Linked DNA regions of Nothobranchius furzeri. The protein of the gene in region 4 interacts with the protein of the main gene of each other region in a pairwise test. Links are inferred from orthologs where the notes say so. Each region holds a gene or a part of one and is shown on either strand. Other genes may lie near its edges.

Region 1 (3,931 bases), on a different chromosome or scaffold from region 4:
CCCACTGCTCTGCAGCAGCCTATCACTACCAAAAAACAACATCAGCTACCTGGTTTTATCCATGATAAGTGCTGGGCTGTTCTCTATTGCACCTCTTATTTATGGAGGAATGGAGATGTTTCCCGTAGCACAGCAGCTCTACCGCCACGGAAAAGCCTACCGCTTCATTTTTGGCTTCTCAGCAGTCACCATTATGTACCTCATCATGGTGGTGGCTATTCAAGTGCATGCATGGCAGCTATATTACATGAAGAGTCTGCTAGACTCATGGTTCAACACCACGCAAGAAAAAAAGAAGAAATAATTAAATTAAAATATTTGTGATTAGGCAAAAATATCTGGTATATTTTAGCTGTGTTATTTTGAGGTCTGTTTTATTTTTATGACATAACATAAGTCTTTTGGTTTTATTGTTTTCCAACACCAAGTTTTTAATGAAGTATAATTCAATTTGAAAAATTGTATTCTCTGTTCAACTCTTATTATTTCCTGATACTAAATATAAGGCATTAAAATGGTTTGGGTTATGTTTTATTTTTTATGAAGATTATCGTTATTATAAGTTCTCACCTAGCACAATACAACTAGTTCACTGTGGTAAGGAGTAAAAAAGCAAATGTGGGAAACCAAAAATAAATTCCAATGTTTTTATTTCATTTTATTTATTTATTTATTTTTGCATGTGCAGGAACCTTGATGTTTGACTAATTTTAATTATGAAACATAATAAAACAGCACTGTTCAATAATTATATGTTTAGCATCACTTGATTATATTTTGTTTACAGCTTTGTCAAATAACAGTGAAGTAATACAACTTTGTAAACGTAGATGTGTATATACCAGAATGTTTTGCATTGGTAACATGATTTCATTAACTATAAATATAAAATATGCTTAGTAGTAATAAAAAATGGGTTACTTTAGGCAGTGTTTTGATTTTCTTTGTCTATAATTTTACAATATTGAGAAATGACTTCTTTTATTATGAAATTGCCTAATAAACAGATAGTATTCTATGTGGAAAAAATACGTTTACGTTAACATCCATGCCTGTGAACATAAATAATGACTTCATGCTTTGTAATGTTCCAATTTTAGGGTGGCACACTTTGCTGCCGTCTGCGCCTGCGCGTAAAGAGTGCCACGTACTGTTGACGTTGACTATCCGGAGAACACTTCCTGGGTCTAGCTAGGCTGGCTAAATATATCAAGTAATTTTCACGCTTTGGTGAGGCTTGTTAGGTACTGCGTGGTTAAGTCGTCTGATTCAGGTAAAATCCGCTATTTGATTCAGAGTTTCGCTGTAATATAATTGAGACCTAAGCACACGGGAATGTGTGTGTCATGATTGCATGTTCGCTGTGAAGCTATGTGGTTAGCGCTAACTGGCTAGTGCTAGCTCTGAGCTAACGTCACTTTAACGCCACTTAACTTTTTTCCAAGCAGCTTTTTAAGACTGTTTCGTAGAAAGTTATATTGTAAAAGAGTGAGACGTTCTTAGCAGGGTGAGGCTGGCACACTTGTACAAGTGGCATATACGGTCTTTCTTTAGCTTTGTTTTTTTCCAAATGTAGCTTGTCAGGAAATCACTGTTTACGGATTCGGTGATTTAAAATCAAGTAAAAATTGTCTGTTTTAGTGTAATATTCAAATGATGTGACATAAAAGTATAGTGTTGCTGTTTTTTTTTTTTTACTTTGCTTGTGTGATTTATATTGTGATTGTTGACATGTCAGTCTGTAAGTGGCCCGTCAAAACTTCAGCTGTCCGTGAATTCTGTGTCTAGCACTCAGCCAGCACCACCCCAATTACAGCCCTCTTACATTTGTCATTTGATTCTCATCTAGTACCCCTCTCCCGGTAGAAACCAGCTTTTTTTTTTTTGTTTACCAGTTTATGCTGCTGTGTACTAAACGTTAGCTACAACACAATCCCTAGCATCTAGCTAATTACCCATCTGGCCATGACTGCTAAAGCCGCAACATTTCTGGAATTCAATTCACAATGGGATTTTGTTCAGCCCACTGTATCAGCTGGCGACCACACATTAGCAATAAGTGACAGATTAATCAATCACGAACAGTGAAGTTTTGTTTAATGTAACATTTTATTTATATATTAGCAAATTTTTGGAATCACCGCAAAGTTAGGTGTCATAACTTCCACATTCATAAAAATGGCCATCAGTATTTTTTTCCCTATATTATTGAGTTTTGTTTTCAAATTTGAATTAACAGCAGGCAATCCTTTATAATTTGACTTCAACACAGCTGTGGTGATGCTGAATTGACCTCTAAAATCACAACTCTCATGGAAATGCATAATCAAGTGCCAGCTGTTTAAATTATTAAACATTTTATGAGTACCACTTATGAAAATGCCAATATCACATAGTACCACCTGTTTTCACAGACAATTGCAAAAATGTAATTGCAAGTTTTAGCTGTAATTTGCCCATTTTACATCACAGTTCAGTTTACAATCTCATATTTGACACAAATGGGCAAACATAACCCTTAATCCCATTGAAGTGTGCAGGTTTAATTTGATCATACTTTCACAAACCATAAGCTTTTTTCTAACCCATATGAAATGACACATTTGAAATCAGTCAGATTTCCTCACTGTATCTGTTGCTCACAAGTCCTACAAACGCCTCAGTTTGAGAATCGTGATCTAAGAAATCAGTTGCTGATAGTGAATTTTGACAACTTGGAAATGGTTTAATTTCAGCAGACATTTCAAACGGTTCTAATAATGGTGCTAAATTACTTTTTGGTACTAGACCAGTAAAAGGCTTCTCTTATCAAAGTGGTTCAGATTTATCTAAGTCAACAAGAAGGTTTGTAATCACTTAAGTGTGTTTGCCACATCACTGAGTAGTGTTTGACCCTTAGACTATGCAGATCCTAAGGTCGGTTTGTTCAGCAGGAGGCTGAGTTACAGCAGAAATGGCTCATTTTCAATGCAGTTGTAGTTTATTTGAATCAAACATACTTCCTATAGCATCCAACCATTTCTGGTATATGGCTAAATTAGAACTATTGATGTTCAGTGGAAAAAAAGAGCTTTAATAAAAGCAACTTACTTGTTTTTAATACTGCATCTCTTTTTGGACCAAGTGGTGGAGCCTTAGAGGTCAGACGGCAACATGAACGGCCAGCTGGACTTGAGTGGGAAGCTGATCATCAAAGCCCAGCTGGGCGATGACATTAGACGCATCCCTATTCACAACGAAGACATAACATATGATGAACTGGTGCTGATGATGCAGCGTGTCTTCCGAGGCAAGCTGCAGAGTAACGACGAGGTCACCATCAAATACAAGGATGAAGGTGAGTCAGGACACAGCTCAGGTGCCCGGGTTTCCCCTACTCTAATTACTTAAGAGTAAAATAATTGTAATATAAATTTCACCTGGTCTTTGTTTTTCCTTTGTCAGATGATGACCTCATCACTATTTTTGACAGCTCTGACCTCTCCTTTGCAATCCAATGCAGTAGAATACTCAAACTGACATTATTTGGTAAGACTTTGCGCTTGCTCTCCATGCCTCTGTCACATACTTTAAGCCTGAGTGGATTTGAATGGTCTGCAGATACATCAGCCAGCCACTAGAGGACAGTCTAGCTTATGTTTCACAAAACAAACCTCTGAATAAATGAACTCTGCTGATCTCCAATCACTAACCTTTGGTGGAGCTTCTGTGTCTCTGTGGTTGAGCAAACAAATAATGATTATAGAGGTTCGTAGTGCTGTTCATGCCTAAAGTTAAATGTTTATTAATTCTTGTCCCAATTTTTATTGAACAAAAGTCTTGAAAGTTGTTTAAGTTCTTGTTTCTCAGAGAGAAGAAAACTGGTAGCAAAGAGATGATTCCTAATTCTATATAAAGCTTCAAAAGGACCAATAAAACTGAAACTATCTTC
Region 2 (2,967 bases), about 46 Mb from region 4:
CGACAGCCCACTCCGTCCCATCTCGTGTTCTGTTCCAAATGAGAACATTTCTGAGGAGGCTCCTTTTAACACAATGAGTGGGAAAGGAAGAAAACTAATCAATAGTACTATTTTGTAAAAGTGTCCTTTTTTTCTAGGAACTGATTGAAGCCATGATACAATTTTGAATTTCTAACACACGTTTGGTAGCTGGGTTTTGACCTGAAAACCAGACTGTTTTATGCATCTTTACTGCTTCTTGTCTTCTGCCCATTTACTAAAACCAGTACAGCCCCCCTAGAATCTACAGCATCAGTGTTTCCCCCGTAGCCATAGCAACTAGCATGACTCCTTTTACTGATATCAACATTTGACCAGAGAAAACATGAAATAGGCCACTTTTAGAAAACTTTGAATAAACGAGTTGCTAAAATTTGCTGAGTTTTTGTCTTCATTTCAAAAAGAATGGCTGGGTTAGGCTGCCCTCTGCTGGTGAAGTACCATACTGCACACAGATCCTGCAGAGTTGAGGTATTTTTAATATTTTAATGACAAATCTCCCAATTGTCCACAATAATTTGAACCACTATTCTTAATTGTTAACATGTTGCTGAATTTTCTTGTTTTACCACAGCTGAATGTAAGCCGTTAAAAATCCATGTATTGACTGACAGAACAACTCAAAGGAAAGCGCAACCATGCTGTGGACCATTTTATTACTCAACAATAACTGGAGAACTTCTAAGGTGGAAAAATAAGAAAAGCATGAGTGAGAGCAACAATAATAAAAAAGGAAGATATTTCTTTGTACAGTCTCATGAATCCTGAAGGCAGGTTTTCTGAGAGCCATCCTAGAGATGTTTCTACAAACCTGTTTCTCATCACACAGTAAGTCATCACTTTTTACTTCAAGTTCCTTTTCCTGACAGCTCATCAGCACAACCCCGCAGTTATCCCAGAAAAACTCAACTTCTCTTAGTTTGTAGCAGAAAAACAACTTCCTGGTTGTCAGAATGCTTCATCCTCATCTCATCCACCCACTGCGGTTCAGAGGCATGCCAGGTGGGGGTGGCAGGGGCATTTGTGACTGTCCTGGGGGACCAGGAGGTGGAGGAGGGTACCCTGCAGGTGGCAGCCCAATCCCTGGAGGGGGCACGTGTCCAGGTGGCATACGTGGAGGTGGTGGAGGAGGATAGCTGTTGTATCCTGGAGGTGGATAGGCTGTTAGGTTGGGCGGTGGGTAGGCGGCAGGAGGCGGAGGACCCGGTGGGGGAGGCGCTGCAGCTGGAGGATAGACAGGATGATAAGGGGGTATTGGAGGTATGTAGCTGGGCGGCATGGGGGCGTAGGAGGGACCTTCTGTCTTCATCATAGACTGTAAGCTCTGGTAGCCCTCTCCAGACATGTAGGAGCTGGTGGTGGACATGAGGTAGTTGGAAGGTGGAGGTGGAGGAGGCCGGTGGGGAAGTGGAGGAGGCTGGTGAGGAGGTGGGGCGTGTGGAGGAGGTGGTGCAGCTTCACTTCCTGGTTCTGCTTCAGCAGGAGGAGCTGGAAGAACAAACAAAAACCGTGACCTGAAATGACCTCGGTTCTCAGACAGGCTCACAGGAGGTCTCGTTAACGAGCTTAGCCGCTAATCACATAGGTCTGGAGATTAGGCCAGACCAGCTGGGATTATGTCCGGTCCCAGCTACCGAATAACTTTATTAAACACCGTTCCAAGTGCAGCTGCTTTTTCCTTAGTGATTTCAGCGTTATTAAATATTAATCATGACCTGAATTCAAACAAGCACAAGTCAAACTTGCTTCTAACTTAGAAAAGAGACAAAGGTGGTGAACAACAACCAGAGGTGGTCACCTGGGGGGGGCTGGGGAGTGGGCAGCGGGGGCATGGGGCTCTCCAGTCTGGGAATCTTTGACCCAGCTTGTTCTGCAAAGTGATCAAGAATGTGTTAAAGATGTGTTCAGATGTTCATTAAGGTGATTTTTCACAGCCAGAATAAGTATTTATGTCTTGCTGTATTTTAAAGGTGCAATAAGTGAGTTTTACAGCGATATAATCCCAAAACACTCTCGGATATTTCTAAGTGGGATTTGACACAAAATGTCCACCAGATGTTTTCATCAAGCCAAATATTGAATTCATACAAAGAAATCAGAATGTTTAAGTTTATAAGTTGAGTAAGTCATAATAAAGTGAAATGACAAAGTGAACAAGTATCAAACACGCTTTAATAGTTTGTAGGAAAGCCTTTGTTGGTGACTCCAGCTTCTAGAAGCCGCATGTATGGAGAGACCAGCCATCTGGCCCATTCTTCCACACAAACACTAAATATTGATGGTTCCTTGGGCCTCTTATGAACTTTGATCTTCAGGTCTCTCCATAGATGCTGTGGCAGGGGTATTCAATTCTGGGCCTGGAGGGCTGGTATCCAGCACCTTTTAGTTTTAACCCTGCTTCAACACACCTGATTTCAATCAGCAGCTAATCGACAGGCACAGGTGATTCAACAACTGAATCTAGTGTGTTGGACCAGAGAAACCACTAAAGCGTGCTGGATACCGGCCCTCGAGGACCCAAACTGAATACCCGGTTTTATGGGGTTTAGATCAGGTGATTGACTGGGCCATTTGAGCAACTTGATTTCCTTTCTCTGAAACCAATTCATTGTTTCCTTGGCCTTGTGCCTTGCTGAAATATCAGCCCTCTTCATTTTCAGTAGTGATGATGATGTGAAGCCTTTTGAACCAACAAAGCTTTACAATCCAATTGTATTGAAAAAAGGTTCAAGGTTCGATGCTTCAAAACTCTGGGAGGACATCTGCTGGTTAATGTTTGTATTCCATTGTATTGTCAGCCAATTCTACTGAAAATGAATGGTATTGAACTTTATGGACAAATAAAGCATTAAAAAGCTTCCTCAGGATCATATAATAATAGTATCTTGAATTTGAACATTACATTAAATATACTAAAATTGCTTTTCT
Region 3 (3,500 bases), on a different chromosome or scaffold from region 4:
CTAGTTTCGCCAGCCTTCTCTAATAACCTTCATTCTCAGCTACTTCACACAACAGAAAATAGAAATCCAGTGAATTAACAATTCAGTTTCCTCATGTTTTTTCTCAATCCTCAGCGTGCACTTGACTGTACACAGTTTAACACACTGTCTCATTAAAACATGCCAGAACTTTTCTCCTCTCGTCATAATGTCTGATATGTTATTAAAATAAGGCAGGGAAGAGCCTGGCTTTGACGGCGAGAGGTAGTAGCGTGTTTCCTTGTGAGAGGTCTGTCGTTATCATGCTAATCTGATAGAATGGCTGGCAATTATTTGTCTGTGTGATTGTGCTCTTTGACGGTTGGCAGCAAGCCAGTGGAGGAGCTGCAACCGCTCCTTTAATTAGGCTTACTGGTGCCGGGCTTCAAGGAAAAGAAAGGGGGAAGGAAGGAAGGATGGGGAAAGGTAGCAAGGGTGTAAGGAGAGGGAAGGAAAAAATATTAAGGGAACAGAACAGGAGGTAGGATGATTATTTGTGTGATTCATGCTAATGTGGTATTTGAATAATAAACCCAGTGAGTGAGTTTACAGACTTGGCCATTCAGCAGGTTTAAGAAAGCTCTGACTCCAAGTCACCTGGTCTCATCAATAACAGCAGTGCACGCACTTCTGGCCAAAAAAAGCAAAGGAAAAAAGCAAGATCGCCACTTGCATTTTACAGAACAAATAGCAACTCGAGTCTTCCATCACATAAGCACCGCAGTCATTAACACGTTTTAGCTCCCAGCAAGTGATTTTACTCCAAGCCAGTGAGCAGGTAACTTCCTGGAAGAAGTGGTTGTTTATGAAATTTCTCTCCTGAGAAAATACGATAGATCAGTATTTTATTGTGAAATGAGAGCATGATATTTTATTTTTGAACTTTTGCAGACTCTAGGGCCAGCAAGGATGTTCTGGTGATGGTTTTATGCTTTGGTGTAAGTCAACTATACGCAAGGGGAAGAAAATCAAATGAACTGGGGAAAAATGCCAAAACAATCATACCATGAGATGTTTCCAAAAGTCAAAGCTACGGGTAGTTTGGTTGTGTGTCTCTGGCCAGGTGCATGAGCTAATAAGCAGTCAAAACCAATTCAGAATATAAACAATCAATGCAAATAAACTATACTCGACAAGTACGCAAGAGCATACTAGCGTACTTGGGTGTGGAAATATTGCTGTTTGTGCTGATGATGCTGCAGTTCTCCTTTTGAACACCATGTGCCACTAATAAGATATCAATACCAGTAAATAGCAGGAATGGCAGAAGAAGAGTTTATCACTGTAAAAAGTGGTGCTTCTCATGTCAAGGAACCTTGCTTTGATATCTTGGTCCCGCCCCGGTTTTCTAGGAGATACATCAGGAACGTCAAGGCGTGTTCCTATGTTCATGTTCTACCGAGGCGTGTTTTCTATTTGTTAGCCGTTGCTAAAGTTGCTAAGCAAGCAGTGTTAATGGTTGGGTTGCATTGCTGTTAGCCTGGCCTGCCAGACTCGTCCTCTGTTTAATTCTGTGCAGAGAAAGGGTCTGGGAACTCTCCTACTCAAATAACCCCACCCCCTGAGAATCCTAACCGAGCCAATCAGCGCTGAGTAGCCTACGTCACACTCCACAACACCGAGTTTGTCATAAACATGGAGACTGAAGCGTCGTTTTCTCTTTCCTCTGTTCTAAATGACTTGGAAATGTCTTTAAATCCACAACAAGTAGAAGCGCTAAAAGCCTTTCTTCTAAAAAAAAAAAAGATTTTTCGCGCCGTTGCCAGACGCCATTTTTGACTTCAGCTAAAAATTTACAGCATTGTGCGGTGCAGTCTGCATTTCCGTCCTCTGATTGGTTATTTTTGAGCTGGCTAGCCGCCCCTCATGTGCCTCTCTGCCTGTGAGTAACCAGACTCTTTCTCTGTCCAGAATCAAACAGAGGATGAGTCTGTCAGGCCAGGCCACATTGCTGTAGCCAATCAGAAGCAAGTTGTCCAAATATCCATGGATAAGACTCCAAATCCTGCCGTTTTCTGCCCACCTTTTCTCTGCCTGACTTCTCCTTCCTGAAAAAGGAACACCAGAGTTTTTTTTCCTACAGAGAACAACTCCCAATGCATTCATTTATACTAGAAACCACACACAATTTATTAAAAAAATAGTGAATGAGAGCTTTGAGTGAAATACTTCTTACTTCTTTCTTTCCAGTTCGGGAAGGAGCCTTCGGATTATGTGAAACTCCCAAAGATCCCCGTTACCCAGACTGCACCAGCAAGATGGATGTAAGTCCTAACGCCCAACTGAACAGAAAGCATTTATCACTTTTGTCATTTCTTAATGACTTCCCTGGGCAAAAATTCACCATCCTCTTTTTAAATAAATTGTTTGAAATATTTGAAAACTCAGAGTCTGAAAGCTACCGTACATAGGTGTGGATGGCAGAAAAGGCATGTGTTACACAGAGAAGAGTGGAGTAAAAAGTTATGTCTAATTGGCATTTTGTAAACTACACAATGTAGTAGAGCACTACATGCTATTTGGTAGATGCAATAGCAAAGGGGAAATAAAGCCCACAAAACTAGAGCATGTTTAAAGTGTGCTGTTCGTTAATCATGTCTGGAAAGATTCAGTCTTTGTCCAACAGACTGGAACATCAGATGTATATAAATAGCTCCAACAGCTGGGATATTGTAACCATGGTAACATATAAGAGGTAATGTTTGTACTCATCAGTGATGGAAGTAGGTCTTAATTGTCCTGTTGTTTAGTTTTGCACCAAATATATCTCGACATACAAAAAGGCTTTACTTTGTCATTGGAGTTGATTTGTGAGGAAACATTTGTGTTACAATCCATCTGCCTCGTATCCTGAATGTAGAAAGTGAAAATGCACAAATGTAGTAGTGAATACATGAAGTGTTCCACTCTCCAACCTTTATTGTCTAGTGGATGCGCACTCGTTGGACCTCCGACCCCTGCTACGCGTTTTACGGCGTTGACGGCTCCGACTGCTCCTTCCTCATCTACCTGAGTGAAGTGGAGTGGTTCTGCCCCCCGCTGGCCTGGAGGAACCAGACCATTACCCCCACCCAGAGGCCTCTCCCCAAGAAACAGGTAGCATTCGACTTCCACACCATTAGTTTTACGTTCACTATAATAACACAGTCGGCTGAAGAGGGGGAACATCGAACATGGCAATAATGTCATTTAGAGTGAAAACATTAGCCACTAATGCAACCACATTTGTGAAGTGCCTGGAAGGTACAAATAAAACAGGAAAACACAGTTGGTGAAAAAGCCCAGAACATCTAGGATGTTAATCTAGATTATGTAAACATTAAAATAATGGCTAATTTCTAGGAAGTAATAATGGGTGTGTAAAAATCTTTACTTAAATAAACATATAAATAATTTAAAATGAATCAGTAACTAATTAAAAACAATATTTCAACATCACATATAAAAGGGATATTACAGATGTGTTAAAAGTAACAATTTTA
Region 4 (3,500 bases):
AGAAGACCGGCAGGGCAGAGTCTCAGCTCAGATCAGGACAGAACCGGAAATTCTCCACAGTTCACCGTCCTTGTAGAGCAGCTGAGTACACCTCGTGGAGTTTTGTTATTATGAGGAACCAGAAAATGATGGAATGAGGCATCAGAGAGTTATAAAATCTTTCCAGCGGGTAAAAAAAAAGCACATTCACCTGCTCTGTGTGATGTTGGGACATTGGATTACAGAATCAAGTAGTTTTTTTTTACTATACCACAGATTATTATGGCCAAAAATCAGCAAACGTGAGACAGAATTTACGCTTTTAACTTCATGAGATTAGCTTAGTTTGTTTTGCTGCTGAGTTCCGGGACTGTTGCAGGTAGAGTGATGGTGCTTATATTGTTGCAAAGAGGAGAAACTGGGCTTTAATTTAAATGGCTGCTTCTGAGGACAGGATCATGTCTTATTGTTGCTACTGTGTGTTTTTCTCAATATGTGTATTTAGCTACTTTTCAGCCTTCCTTTTTATTGTCATTGCTGAGGTAGAAAACATGGAATCTATCATAAGAATGGTAAACTGGCATCCCCTAGTGGTGATATGTGGATATCGCATCTAACAGATGGCATTTCTGTGCCACACCCAAAATAAAATTCAGCCGCCACTGCTGATTATGTTCAATTGGAATGTTTGCTTTGCAAAGTGCCTTGATGGCGCTATATAAATTACTGAATTGAATCTGTAGCTGTGTTTCTAGATTATGAGGTGTGAATAAGTAACTATTAGATTTAGTTGGATTACTATTTTATTTTATGAATTGAATTAAAAAAACATTTACAACAAGTTAGTTTTTTAGAATTGGGTTTACATTACGTTTTAAAAGTACTGTTTAATTTCTTCTAAAAATCTTAAAATTGTTCCTTGTTAGGGCTCTAAAAGGCTTTTTTATCTCAAGGGGCAGTCATTTTTTCAAATACATGAAGTCAACGCGGAAGTGACAAATATTGCAGTTCAACCCTCATCTGGTAGGTGCTGGAACAAAAACAGAGAAATCCTCATTGACTCCCATGTTAAAAATGCCAACTTCACAGCAGAAATAAACATGTTTACCGCCTGGTTCATAAACCCATTTTAGGTTTAATAGATCCAGTTTACACTCATGGGTGAATTTTTTTGTCACTCTTCCATTTTAGGTGTAATTAAACGCTTGAAATTATAAATAATTACATTTGATTGACAGGTAGCGTGAGCATCAGAGCTAGCGCATAGCACTGTTTGCTCAAAGATGGGTTGAACTATAACGTGTTGTTGAGGCTGGCTGGGTAACGAAACATGAGCAAGGTAAGTTGACCGAGGCTAGCTAGCGGAGGCTTCCGCGCTTCGCTGGTTACACCATGGTCAAAGATCTGCTAGGTCGCCGCTGCAGAAGAGGTTTGCTGAGTTTCAGTAACATGCCCATCCCTTTAAAAGTGACGGACCGACAATCAGAGATCTGATAATCTGTTGTTCCATCCTCCCGGAGACAGCCCAACAGGGAGGGTACCCGGCTTCTCCGATATCCTGGCTGTTCCTTTCTCCTGAGGGAGCTAAGCCGTGCTGCCACCTGGCTTTCTGGCATCCTCTACTGATCGCAGAAAAACAGCAAGGGAAGTGACACCTACAACATAACGTAGGCGAAAATAAAAACAAAGCTTTGCTACTCTGTGTAGATAAGAACCAAAAATAATGGAGCGGGATCAGAGGGCTGACTGGGTGGTGGTGAAGGAGCAGCGACGGCTGGTAATGGGGAACAGGTGGTGTTGGTTACCTGAGCGTGGAGCGAGGAGGGGTAGGTGAAAGCGGGTGGAAGGGCTGGCGACAGCTCTGCCGGGTACAGCGGGTATGACGCCCACACATCTGGGCTGCTGGGATATAGAGCAGGCACTGTGAGCTCATCTGTGGAAAGAAGAGGAGTGGAGTGAGGAGAGTGGCAAGTGAATGGGTGGGTGGATAGAGAGGCAGGGTGGAGGTGGCAGTGATGGTGGTGATTGTGGAGGTGCGCACTGGGAGGGACTATTAAGTATCTGAAGTTGAATCCTCTTATCGTGATTCTTTAAACCAAAGCCCAAAAATGTCTGATCAGCTGACAGCAAGCCTGTAAAGATTCCTGCTCATGTTTCCCTCATTGTCTTTTTACGATAAAAGCATTAAAGTCATGATAAAGATGAGTAAAAACATTTAGCTGAAGAAGCTAAAACATCCTGCCTTTCCCAATAGAGTACTGCTCTGAAGCCCAAACCAGTTTCCTGTAAGCCCATGTCCCCACACACACCAGTAGTGCAGGGAGAGCTACCCTCCAGTAAACCCAGTTAGGAAAAGCTGTGTGACCTTGTATTTTCCAGAGATAAATATCAAAGAAAAATAAACTATTTTTTGTAATTATTGTTAACAAAATATAAAGAAGTAGGAATGTTTAGTATATTGTTATGATATCCATGCATAATGTGTGTATGATACAATAAGATAAGCTATTTAATATCACCAAAACATAAATATGTTGCTATGTTTTGACTATCTTAAATTTGTTGTAAAATGTATGCCCTGAATTTAACCGCTGGTCTACTTTAGAGTCTGTAGCTCATAGGATGAATAAAAGACCTTACAATAATTATTGTTAGAAATGTGCTTAAAGTGTTCATTTTAATCTTTTGCTTTCCAAAATTAAGCTAGGTGCTGTGACCGGTGCGTTTGCACCTCCAGTTACACCCAGCTGAGATGGTTGTCATGGTTACATAGCAGTATTGCAACTTACCTAGATGGGGATACTGATCAATAACTTGTTAGACCATTAAAATATTTTTAAACTAGAGTTAGCTAATGATGCTAGCAATAACTTGGTGGCTTGCAACTGCTGTGGTTGGATAGCCTAGCGCTCTAGACAAACTGTAGCGACAACAAAAACGTTTGCTCTGCAGGTTGGTTTGGCCACGCTCCATTGTAGCTTCAGCAAGCCTACCATTGGCTTGGTGTAGTGTAGATTCGGCCAATCACAACACTCTACAGCTTAGATGACCACTGCCCAGCAACGGTGCTCATTTGAAATGGCTTTGGCATCAACTTTGTATGATTTAGACTTGGGTTCCTTTTTGAGACATGAGCAGAAATATATTTCTTCTTCTTCTACGGTGTATGGCGGACGGCCTCGTTGTCTGATTTATGCTGCTATGAATCCATCATGTTGTTTGTTGCTCTGATTGGTCCTAGCGCTGTCCAATTGCATGCAGACAGTTTGAAAGAAAACAGTAGTTTCTGCCCCATGACTGAGCTGCATATGGGTCATGGCCATACTATACATTTACAAATATAGTACAGCTTGCCAAGCTAGTATTTGGATGGCTATTGAGTCAAATTAAAAGCTTACTTCAGTCTGACTTGTAATTTCCCAAATTTCTTCAATCTTTGTTGGAAAAAACATCTTTGTGACTCTAATTTGCTTACCTTCAACGCATTAACTGAAAGCTTTACAGGCTAGCAGCAGCAGCTA
Region 5 (3,402 bases), on a different chromosome or scaffold from region 4:
TCCAGAGCCGCTGGTTGCCGACCCCCGTCCTGGTCAGAGTTGTTGTTGTCGCTCATGTTTGTTCTAAAGAGATGTGCATTTCTCAAAGGGACAAAGAACTCAAAAGAAAATAATCTTAAAGATTGTTTGATTGATAAAATAAAACAGGTTGCTTACTTTATCTGGATGTTGCTGTCCTGAGCTTCTTCCAGAAAAGAATTTGAAACCAAACATGCCTGATCCTCCTGTTTAAACCAGTGTCCTAACCACTCCTGCCATACTGAACACAAACATATGACAGGTGAAAGTGATTGCACAAGTTCCACCAGTCATCTATAACGGTAAATAGAACTTATACCCAAACACAAATCTGCTGTTAACTAGAATCTGCATAATTTCACCAAGTTTTAATTGTTAAAATATTCTGGAAACCAAGATTCAAATTGACACCAAAAGTTACAATTATACATTTAATTTTTATTCTATCATTGCGCTACAGAGACAGAGAATCCAACGCGATCAAAGATTAAATAAAATCTTTTTATTTCTCAGGAACTCAGGTGAAATCAAGGTGCTGATGCTCAAAGTTCTCACAGGCGTGTGTGATGAAGGATCACTTCAGTTTCCAGATGAATCTGTGACATGGCTGAAGCGCTGTCGTCGTCATGTTTCTGGTTTCCTCTGAGCTTCAGAGGCCAAGGTGAAACTCAAGAGAGGTCAAACGAGATGCAGCTCAGCCCAAAACATAAAGTTCAGTTCAATGTTTGTCTCAGTCTCTCAATCATTTCAGATTAAATGTTCATAATAACATAAAAGCTAATCACAAAACAGCAGCTGCCAGGATGCTGATCAGGATTGAGCTGATGATGAAGATGAAGAGGTGGTGGAGGAGCAACCTAAGTATTTCTGTAGAAACTGATTCAGACTGAAAACTGTCCCCCAGCCAACAGCTGGGCTCATGCTGATGAAGTCATCCAGGTTCATCTGACACCCTGAAGAGGAAATGCACCAAAAGTACAAAATCACCTTTTCCTAAGACAGGAATCAGAAAACATGCTCCACATTAACTTGATTTGTTACCAGTGGTCTTTAAAGGGGGGTAAGAGGGAGGGGGCTTCTTCCAGCTCCCATCAGGGTTCTTCATGTGAGTTCGATCAGACGCAAAGTTCAAGAGGAAGCTCTCAGCAGGAATCACACGCAACTTCCTGTCACAGATATGAGAAGGTGTTGGTGATTTCACTCCAGTGCATTACCTGTGTAATTCAGCAGTGCTACCTGTGATATTCAGGTTTGATGTGGTGGTCTGAGCGGAGGGCCTGGCTGCCATAAAGCCTCAGATTGCATGGGAATGACAGCTCTGTGTCCAGATCATAAACCAGAACCTCCGACTGAGGATCCACATGAAGCAGGATCACATGGTAGTCCTAAAACACCCAAAAAAACATGATTAACAATGTATTATTTTAATGCTCTGAGGCCACTTTAACAGGAAGGAGAATCATAGACCCAGATCACTGGATGGTCAGCGTGTCCAGACTTCTGCTTCCACAGAGGAACCTGAAGGAGAACAAATAACATCACTGATCAGCAGCAGCAGCAGAAGTCAGATCTTAGTGAAAATGTTGATTCTTTATACAAACTTGGCAAATTTAAGGGGATTCGTGATGATTTGTTAAACTTTAGACCTGTTGAGACTAAATCTGTTGAGTTAAATATGTTTAAAGGGTTTTGTAACACATGACAAACTTCTCAGAGCTGATCTTCTCACCATTCTGTTGTCATTAGAGATGAAAACCACAAAGAGCTGTTCCAGTGGAGCAGTCCTCGCTGTTTGAACAAACTCACACAACTTCCACACATTCTCCTCACTGCAAAGCAAATTAAGACATCACTAATCAAACAGCAAAAATAATCTAATAATAATAAAATCATATCCATAAGAATGTAGCAGCTACCATTTAAGCCAACTGCGTTTTGCTACAAAATTTGATGAATAATTATGTAAAACCCAACAAACTGGAGTTTTTTTTAATCATGATGTAACAGAATGGATTTACCAGTAACAGCTGGTGTAAACACAGAACTCACGACTCGGTGTGATTCGATCCTTTACTGCCTTCATGGTTCGGTGTTACACCGAAACCGCTCCGACGGTGTCACTTCGAAATGTGTCCCCATGGTTGAAAACTCTTGTCACATCAACTTCATTATAAAGAAAATTGTTTGTTTTTTGCTACAAAATTTGACGAATAATTATGTAAAACCCAACAAACTGAAGTTTTTTTCATGATGTAACAGAATGGATTTACCAGTAACAGAACTCGCGGTTCGGTGTTACACCGAAACCGCTCCGACGGTGTCACTTCGAAATGTGTCCCCATGGTTGAAAACTCTTGTCACACCAACTTCATTATAAAGAAAATTGTTTGTAGTAAATATTCTAAGAACATTTTGCAGACCCTGGTACCCGAATATTTTCGTTAAACATAGTTCCCGCTTGTGTTCAGCACAACTGATACATAAAGAAAGCTGATATTCTTAGAGATTTTATTCTTAAGAGAGGCCTTTAACCTGGTTAAACAACAGATACAACAAATATTCCCAGGCCTGCGCAGTCGTGCATTTACATGGTTATTACAAATACTTTTACTATTAGAAACAAGCTTTGTACAAAATACCCAAAAACTTGGTTCAAGTTAAAAATATCCATAATGATGAAATTTGAAGCACAAATACTTTATATTTGGGATAGTCCTAATTTCTGCCTCTGGCAACAAAACAAACAAACAAAAAAAAAAAACCTTTAGAGCTGTAATTATGTTGATAATTTTAGATAATTTTATTTCCTTTTTGAAAGCTGTAATAAATGGTCTTGTTTTTCAAAAAGGTAACCGCAACACAAACTCCTTTAAAATGAAGGCAGACAAATAAAACTACATTTTGTAGGTTTTAAAAAAAGAATCAATAATTCTCCTAGTTTTAACATACAGAGACAAATTGTAAGAACAATATATTTTATTGAAAACAATAAAATACATTTTATTGAAAACAATAAAATAAACTACAGAAAACAAAACAAAAAAAAAAGAAGAAGGTATCCTGGTAATCAGTCCATTAGGGAGGTCAGACTCCTCCCACACACACACAGAGCTGCTGCTGGTTAAAACACTTTAGGTGAAGAGCCGGATGGTGGCGTCAGCTCCTGAGGAAAAGACCCACGGCTGAGTGGGGTGAAAGATCACGTCCAGAACACCAAGATCGTGGGTGATCACATGACCTCTGAGAACTTTTACAGGTACTATCAGCGGGTTCTGAAGCAGGTCGCTGGAAGAGACGGCGGCAAGTTTTAATATCCTGTCTTTTATAAGTCTTGTTATGAATAGATTTTCAGGGTGTGTTTGTGGTCTTACTTGTAAACAGTCC
Region 6 (3,096 bases), on a different chromosome or scaffold from region 4:
CCTGCCCAAGGACACTACAGCAGCATTCTCTGGTGGGAGCTGGAATCGATCTTACAACGTCCCAATTACTGGACAACCTGCTCTACCTCCTGAGCTACTGCTGCCTTTGCTGCACTACTTTTTAGTATCTCTCTAAAAACTGTGTAAGGCAACGGGCTAACTAACTAGCCATTAGCTTGTCAGTCTGGTCAGAACTAATCCTTGTTTCTTCAAACTGAAGTTGTTCACTAGATAACAAAAGCTTATTAGTTTTTCCACAGACTTAAAATATCTTAACTGTCACATTGACAAGTGTCCTTCACTACCTGAGAACCTCCAATATGAAACCAGAGAAACCAGTTCATCACTGCCTGTGGCCTTTGTTGATAAATAACCTTTTCTGTGCTGTGTGTGTTGCAGTCACTGGTTTGTGAAGGGAAAGGAATGGGTTTTCTGCTGTAGCTACGGAATTCAACAGGGAATGGTTTAAGGGAAACAAAATCAAAGTAGAAAAAAAACCCCACACATTTTGCTTTCTCTCACACACGCACACACACACACACATACTGACACATTTATGGGCACAAAATAAAGCATATTAGGAGTATCACTGGGAAGAGAAACAGCTCTGAAGCATGATGTTATCTGAGTGAGTGAGCTGTATGTTAATTTGATTTACCTCATGCAAAAATTTAACAAACAAACAAACAACAATGACGACAACAAAAACTAACAGTAGTTCTCAATGGTGTCAAAGAATGAAAAGTTTACAGGAAACTCTGGGTGGGCCAGAGACAAGAGGAGGCACACAAGGAGGAAAAAGAAAGAGAGAGAGAAAACATTTTTAGTTCAGTTGAAGGAAACAGAAAAGCACAGTCCTAAACACTCTACGAAGGCATCAGAAACACAAGAATGTTCTGAGGTTGTCGAAGCAGCAGAGGCTGCAGGTCAGACAACACTTTGAGCTAAGCTACCTTGTGCAGTGTTTCTCTCATTGAGCAGCTTTGTCTGACTGTTGGGCAGGACTTTGATCTCCGGTGGGTCTGGACTCTGTCCGGAACGAGACGCCATCAGAGCATTCAGATACTGCAGACGCGTCACCTGCAACACACACACACACACACACACACACACACACAAATGTCATAATTACTTGTGTTACTGGCTTTGTGTATATTATGTCCTACTCTGCTATAAAGCCTGAAAATGAGGTCCAAAGAAGAGCCCAAAATACCTCCAGAGGCCCGGAGAAGTGCTCCTGTTTAGAAAATATATAAAAAGGGTCTGCACACATACGGATCTTTTATTTACATATCATAATCATATCTGGAGAAGGAGGAGGAACAAAGTTGATCTGAAATACAAATCTCAGGCTACCATCAGTTTGAGCTACCATCTTGGTTTTAGTCGGAACTTCTTTTGCTTTTGCTCTAGATTGTTGTTGAAATGTTTTGAAGTCTAGTCCACCCTGCTCATGTGATGACTGACACCTGCTGGTTCATTCTGGAACTGCACATAGTTGTGAAGATGACGTAATGCCGTCAGTGTGAGAACAAACACTGGTGCATGCTGCATACACACCCGTATGAGCTGCAGGTCAGTGAGAGCTCGGACCGTATAGTCGGGACAGTAGCTGGAGGAGCTGGAGGCGTCTGCAGACTCAAACGGATCCCTGGGAGAGTGGCGCTGGGTCGCCACTGGAGACTGATGCACTGCACCACACACACGCACACACACACACACGCACACACATGCACACACACACACACACACACACACACACACACACACACACAAATCAGCATGTCTGCAGTGTTGAAACAATCAGCCACTGAAAATCAGGATTCACAAAAAAAAGAAATTCATAAAAAGCTAAAAACATCTTTTAAACATGCCCTCTGAGAAAAACTCCAGATATTTGATTTAATGGAAACTCAAAAGTTTTTTCTTAGTCTTTTCCTACGTTTTTTTTTTAGTTTTTTATCTTTTGCACAAGCTATTTGAAAATGTTTCTGATTCAGTGAGCATATGATTGGATCTCATCAATGTTGTTTTGCTTTTGACCAGAATAACAGGGTTTTTCTCATTTCTACATAGTTAAGTTTGCTTCAGCACACGTCCTGACCTCATGACCTCTAAAACCCAGCTTCTCTTCGCTCTCAGATCAAGAAGAAGAAAAGATCTTTTCTATAGCACCTCTCAAGATAAAAATCATGAAACGCTTTACAAAAATAAAAAATGTAAAATATAAAAACTAATTTAGAAAATGATTGAAAATATATTTAAAATGAGCAAAAATAGACAATTTTGATTTAAAAATGTGAAGAAAGGGAGAGAGAGTGAATAGGAAAAAGGGAAATCAGTGGATCCTGAGGAAGGTGGAATAGGTGGGGAGGGCAGAATAAAGAGAGAGTGGTGAAGAAGGTCACACAAAAGCCAGCTTGAACAAATGAGTTTTCAGCTGCTTTTTAAAGGAGACCACTGAGTCCTCTGATCTCAGGCTCAGGGGAAGAGGGTTCCAGAGTCTGGGGGCCACAGCAGCAAATGATCTGTCACCTTTGGTCTTTAGCCTGGTGCTGCACAACCAGTAGGCTTTGGTCACTGGACCTCAGGGACCTGCTGGGGGTGTAGGGACTAAGAAGACCACCAATGTAAGATGGTGCTTGTCCATGTAAGGCCCTATAGACCAGAACCAGGATCTTGAAATGAACCCTGAAGTTGACTGGCAGCCAGTGAAGCTGGAGGAGAAGCGGGGTGATGTGGGTGTGTTTGGAGGACTTGGTCAGAAGCCGAGCACAGGCATTCTGAACCACCTGTAGACGGTTCAGGGAGGTTCTGCTCAGACACGTGAAAAGAGAGTTGCAGTAGTCTAAGCGTGAGGAGATGAAGGTGTGGAGAACTGTCTCAAGTTCAGAGCGGGACAGAATGGGACTCAGCTTAGCAATGTTCCTGAGATGGAAGAAGGAAGAGCGAACAAGAGAACTGACATGAGAATCCAGGGTGAGAGCTGGGTCAAAGGTCACGCCAAGATTCCTGACAGAAGGTTTGGTGTGAGAACCAAGCTGACCAAGAGAGTCTCTGACTTTGGGAACCAGCTTGTCTGGGGCACAGATGAGG
Region 7 (3,500 bases), on a different chromosome or scaffold from region 4:
TAGTGTGTATGTGTGTGTGTGTGCGTGTGTATGGATTCAAAATGGAGTCTTGAATACAAGATGGCTGACCCCTTTGTCTGGCTAAAGTGTGGGTGGCAACTTGCACTTTAACTTCCAAAGCACTTAGAATCAGTAGTAACTTAACCTTAAATCACTCAAAACATTTCAAAAGATCATGAAACAACACAAAAGATTAATCACAAATTAATATCTTTTAGTTTCAGCCTGGCCATGACAGAAACCATTTTAAGATACCAAACAATGATCAATAAGCAGTTTATTCTTCAAAATGACCCGACGGACGTGTTTGGGACGAAAGAGGAAAACACGAAGCTACTTTTAAGCAATAGACGCGGTTTATTGCTTATTCGAGACTATAGAGGAAACGGGAGAAGGAAAGAATGAGAGAAAGAGATGAGTTTCTGATCACCAGAACAGTGAAGCGTCCCTCACTGTTTTGATTTGACGGTTCTCCGTGTTTCTCCGCAGCTTTCAGCGTCATCCGCCGGTTTGATGCTTTCTCCGTTGTTTGGCTCCACGAGTGTTTCTCCACGGCTGGACACAAAGAAAACGAAGTTCCTTTTGGGCTGAGTTTGACAACTTACAGCGTTTCTGAGAGCTGGATGGAGTTGTTGTTTCCCTCCGCAGTTCTGTGTCCTCAAACATCAGCTGGAGGGGAGCAGAAACGAGCAGATCTGATGGGCTTGCAGTTTAGTTTCCAGCAGTTCCGTGGCTCAACTTGGCACTTAGAGCTTCCGCGTGCTCAAAGAAGTCGGAGCGTTCGACAAGCGTGTCCTCACCGCCAGGTATCCTGGGCAAAAGAACAAGGTTTCTTTGTCTCTGCTGAAGATTTATGGTCTTAGTTTGCGGGAAAACTCCACGGCTTCCCGCACATGCGCAGAACGTGTTTCTGGTACTAGGCGGTGACGTCATCACAATGCTTCCGTGTGCAAAGCATCATGGGAAATGAAGTTTCTTGGCGCTGATGTGATTATTTGCTTTTCAGAGCAATTTAAGCACAGTCATTTTGGAGAAAATCACTGCATAGTAATTTCCTCATGAGGTCAGACCCTCAACAGATCAAAGGAAATACCCTGACATGTTAGAACCACCATCAGCAGACCCTCATGCAGCCATGATGAGAAATCAAACCCATCCAGAGAGGAAGGTGTTTGCTAATGTATGCGTGTGTTTTCTCCCCTCAGCCCATTGTCACTACCCTGCCAGAGAAGAGTTGGAGGGCCGGAGTCTCGTAAATCAAAGCGTCGCATCATGGAGACACAGGTCAGCGCCTCTGTCTCAGGAGGAGGGGGGTGGGGGTCTGGGCCACTATTCCTGGCTTACATTTTCTTCCTCTTATTTTTTTTAAATGCACCCAGGTAAACATCCTTGTGTGACCCAAATAACCCGTCATTCTCACAGAGCCGTCTCCTTCAGCCTTGCTGCTCCTTTCACACTCCGCTGCCTCTGTGTTTGTTCTCTCCTCCCAGCAGGAACCTTAAAGCCTGCTAATGTGTTAGAGAACACAAATAGATTAAAAGTAGCTTTGAGAAACGTGGTGGCGCTCCGCTAAAATGTATAATTCAGATCCAATCTTGCTAAAACCTGCTCTTGTATTTCAGCAACACCTGCGATTCAACGACACATTTATCAGCATCATCAGAGCCGATTCCCAGCGGACGGCTCTGAAACAAGCAGTCTCACATGTGCTGGTTACTATTTTTACTCTGCATTCTTAAGCGTGAACGTTCGTCGTGCTTTGTTCCTCCTACACATCGCTCTGATCTGTGTATGTGCACGTAGTGAAATCCTGGAACAATACGCTCTGCACTGCTCCTGTTTTTCTCTCCACTTTGGCTCATCCAAGCTCCATTGTTCTCCTCTGACGGATGCTAATCTCAGTCTGTCTTGGAGGAGTAGGTCTGAGGAAAGTGAGATGGGTAAGAATGCTGATATGCGGAGTCTGGGATCACTTCCAAGTGCACTTTGCAGTCAATTACATTTTGGCCAGGTGGCGCTGGCACCTTGACAGCGCTACTCTGACAGAACGTCTCTGTTTAAAGGTGCAGACATAAACCGAAGCCTCTGATTAATAATCTCCCATCATAACCGCCATGCTACAGAAGTGGCTCGGTGTGCTGCTGTGTGGTGACCACCTCCTAGGTGATGCTTTTACTTTGTATGAGTCAGCAGCAGCTTCCTCACTAACCCTTTGGGCTGTGGACAGTTTACAAAAAACACAAAATACCCCAAAACCTGAACTTGACACTCGAGCGAGCACAAAGGTAACAGTTTTGGAGGGACTGATGATGTTGGTTCAGACACCAGCTGATCCCTGTGTCTCCCCTCTGCCCAGACCTGTCAACCCCCGGTTACTGCCAACCCTGTTGAGCTGCTGCCATGTTGCCATGGCTACATGGGAGGAGCCAACCTTTACAACTCCAGGAAGTCGGAGGAGGAGCTTAACATGTGGTAAGGGCTGTCTGTACAGGTTGTTTTTGCTTTGTTCTCTAATATTATTATTTATTCTTATTTTTTTTCACCAGCTGAAGGTTAACCACAACACTTTGTTTTGAAATATTACTGATATGTGATCATTTCTTATCTTATGTTTTTTAACAACACTGGAAAAAAATAAATAAATACAACATACCTGAGTGTGGCTCACTGCAGCTCACTACTGAATGCTTTTGTTTAAATATTTATGTGGTATTTATTTTCACAATAACAAGAAATGTATTTTTTGCATTCCTATAAAACATATTTTCCAGGTCCACTTACATTTCAATTAAAGCTACAACCCAGAGTATTTTTTTCTCAGTGTCACCATCTAGAGGCTCACAAGTGTATCTCACATTTTTTCTCACCATTTTTGTATTCACAGCCAAAATCAATGCCTCTCGTTCATGAACGTGCACCTCTAGCTGGATAACAGCATTAAAATGCACTGTTATATTACTATTCTCACTTTATACTGTTCATTTATAAATTCCTATGTACAGTTCCTTCTAAAAAAAATTAGCATATTGTGATAAAGTTCATTATTGTCTGTAATGTACTGATAAACATTAGACTTTCATATATATTAGATTCATTACACACAACTAGGGATGCCCCGATCAGGTATTTTTGCCCTCGAGTACGAGTACGAGTCATTTGATTTTGAGAATCTGCCGATACAGAGTCCCGATCCGATACTTTTGATACATAAAAAATAAATAAATAAAGAAAAGGAAGAAACAGTTCCATAATGTTCCTTATTTTTTATTTAATTCACTTTTTATTTTAATCTGTGAGGTAGCTTGAACAATCAATTAATAAATAACATAAATTCTTCACTTTTGGACTTTATTGCAAATTTAAAAAGTCTTAATATAAAAACAGATAGCACTTCAACTTAAAATACCTGGCAGGGGTCTATTTTGCCTCGGCCCCCAAAATGCTTAGATACGTCCCTGGGCATGGGATGGAGTTTTGAAGATGATCTGAATTGTATCAAC

The links.
Region 1: the proteins of RNA-binding protein with multiple splicing (region 4) and tfg interact in binary tests that used the Homo sapiens proteins (3 or more experiments, as listed by UniProt). The two-hybrid records come from large-scale screens. The link is inferred for Nothobranchius furzeri from reciprocal best matches to the Homo sapiens genes RBPMS and TFG.
Region 2: the proteins of RNA-binding protein with multiple splicing (region 4) and ccnk interact in binary tests that used the Homo sapiens proteins (3 or more experiments, as listed by UniProt). The two-hybrid records come from large-scale screens. The link is inferred for Nothobranchius furzeri from reciprocal best matches to the Homo sapiens genes RBPMS and CCNK.
Region 3: the proteins of RNA-binding protein with multiple splicing (region 4) and alpha-1,6-mannosylglycoprotein 6-beta-N-acetylglucosaminyltransferase B interact in a two-hybrid assay, tested with the Homo sapiens proteins (2 studies listed by BioGRID and IntAct). The two-hybrid records come from large-scale screens. The link is inferred for Nothobranchius furzeri from reciprocal best matches to the Homo sapiens genes RBPMS and MGAT5B.
Region 5: the proteins of RNA-binding protein with multiple splicing (region 4) and ntaq1 interact in binary tests that used the Homo sapiens proteins (3 or more experiments, as listed by UniProt). The two-hybrid records come from large-scale screens. The link is inferred for Nothobranchius furzeri from reciprocal best matches to the Homo sapiens genes RBPMS and NTAQ1.
Region 6: the proteins of RNA-binding protein with multiple splicing (region 4) and metal transporter CNNM3 interact in binary tests that used the Homo sapiens proteins (3 or more experiments, as listed by UniProt). The two-hybrid records come from large-scale screens. The link is inferred for Nothobranchius furzeri from reciprocal best matches to the Homo sapiens genes RBPMS and CNNM3.
Region 7: the proteins of RNA-binding protein with multiple splicing (region 4) and phf1 interact in binary tests that used the Homo sapiens proteins (3 or more experiments, as listed by UniProt). The two-hybrid records come from large-scale screens. The link is inferred for Nothobranchius furzeri from reciprocal best matches to the Homo sapiens genes RBPMS and PHF1.

What each region holds. Positions count from the first base shown.
Region 1 is NC_091754.1:27,495,393-27,499,323, forward strand, and holds the start of tfg (protein TFG), read left to right. Parts: upstream 1-1,131; 5' UTR 1,132-1,273; intron 1,274-3,124; 5' UTR 3,125-3,153; coding exon 3,154-3,337; intron 3,338-3,444; coding exon 3,445-3,528; intron 3,529-3,931. Other genes in the region: jagn1a (protein jagunal homolog 1-A), read left to right, coding at 1-304. UniProt on the Homo sapiens protein: Plays a role in the normal dynamic function of the endoplasmic reticulum (ER) and its associated microtubules. Required for secretory cargo traffic from the endoplasmic reticulum to the Golgi apparatus.
Region 2 is NC_091742.1:21,076,091-21,079,057, reverse strand, and holds the end of ccnk (cyclin-K), read right to left. Parts: intron 1,910-2,967; coding exon 1,838-1,909; intron 1,528-1,837; coding exon 1,004-1,527; 3' UTR 501-1,003; downstream 1-500. UniProt on the Homo sapiens protein: Regulatory subunit of cyclin-dependent kinases that mediates activation of target kinases.
Region 3 is NC_091752.1:49,948,782-49,952,281, forward strand, and holds part of alpha-1,6-mannosylglycoprotein 6-beta-N-acetylglucosaminyltransferase B, read left to right. Parts: intron 1-2,208; coding exon 2,209-2,282; intron 2,283-2,946; coding exon 2,947-3,114; intron 3,115-3,500. UniProt on the Homo sapiens protein: Glycosyltransferase that acts on alpha-linked mannose of N-glycans and O-mannosyl glycans.
Region 4 is NC_091742.1:66,831,331-66,834,830, reverse strand, and holds part of RNA-binding protein with multiple splicing, read right to left. Parts: intron 1,913-3,500; coding exon 1,785-1,912; intron 1-1,784.
Region 5 is NC_091759.1:9,346,768-9,350,169, reverse strand, and holds ntaq1 (protein N-terminal glutamine amidohydrolase), read right to left. Parts: upstream 2,196-3,402; 5' UTR 2,102-2,195; coding exon 2,037-2,101; intron 1,848-2,036; coding exon 1,748-1,847; intron 1,537-1,747; coding exon 1,486-1,536; intron 1,404-1,485; coding exon 1,255-1,403; intron 1,185-1,254; coding exon 1,060-1,184; intron 972-1,059; coding exon 829-971; 3' UTR 501-828; downstream 1-500. Other genes in the region: ribosome biogenesis protein bop1, read right to left, coding at 3,150-3,303, 3,390-3,402. UniProt on the Homo sapiens protein: Mediates the side-chain deamidation of N-terminal glutamine residues to glutamate, an important step in N-end rule pathway of protein degradation.
Region 6 is NC_091746.1:39,517,447-39,520,542, reverse strand, and holds part of metal transporter CNNM3, read right to left. Parts: intron 1,692-3,096; coding exon 1,561-1,691; intron 1,081-1,560; coding exon 954-1,080; intron 759-953; coding exon 714-758; intron 1-713. UniProt on the Homo sapiens protein: Probable metal transporter.
Region 7 is NC_091745.1:62,283,622-62,287,121, reverse strand, and holds part of phf1 (PHD finger protein 1), read left to right. Parts: intron 1-1,205; coding exon 1,206-1,284; intron 1,285-2,356; coding exon 2,357-2,472; intron 2,473-3,500. UniProt on the Homo sapiens protein: Polycomb group (PcG) that specifically binds histone H3 trimethylated at 'Lys-36' (H3K36me3) and recruits the PRC2 complex. Involved in DNA damage response and is recruited at double-strand breaks (DSBs).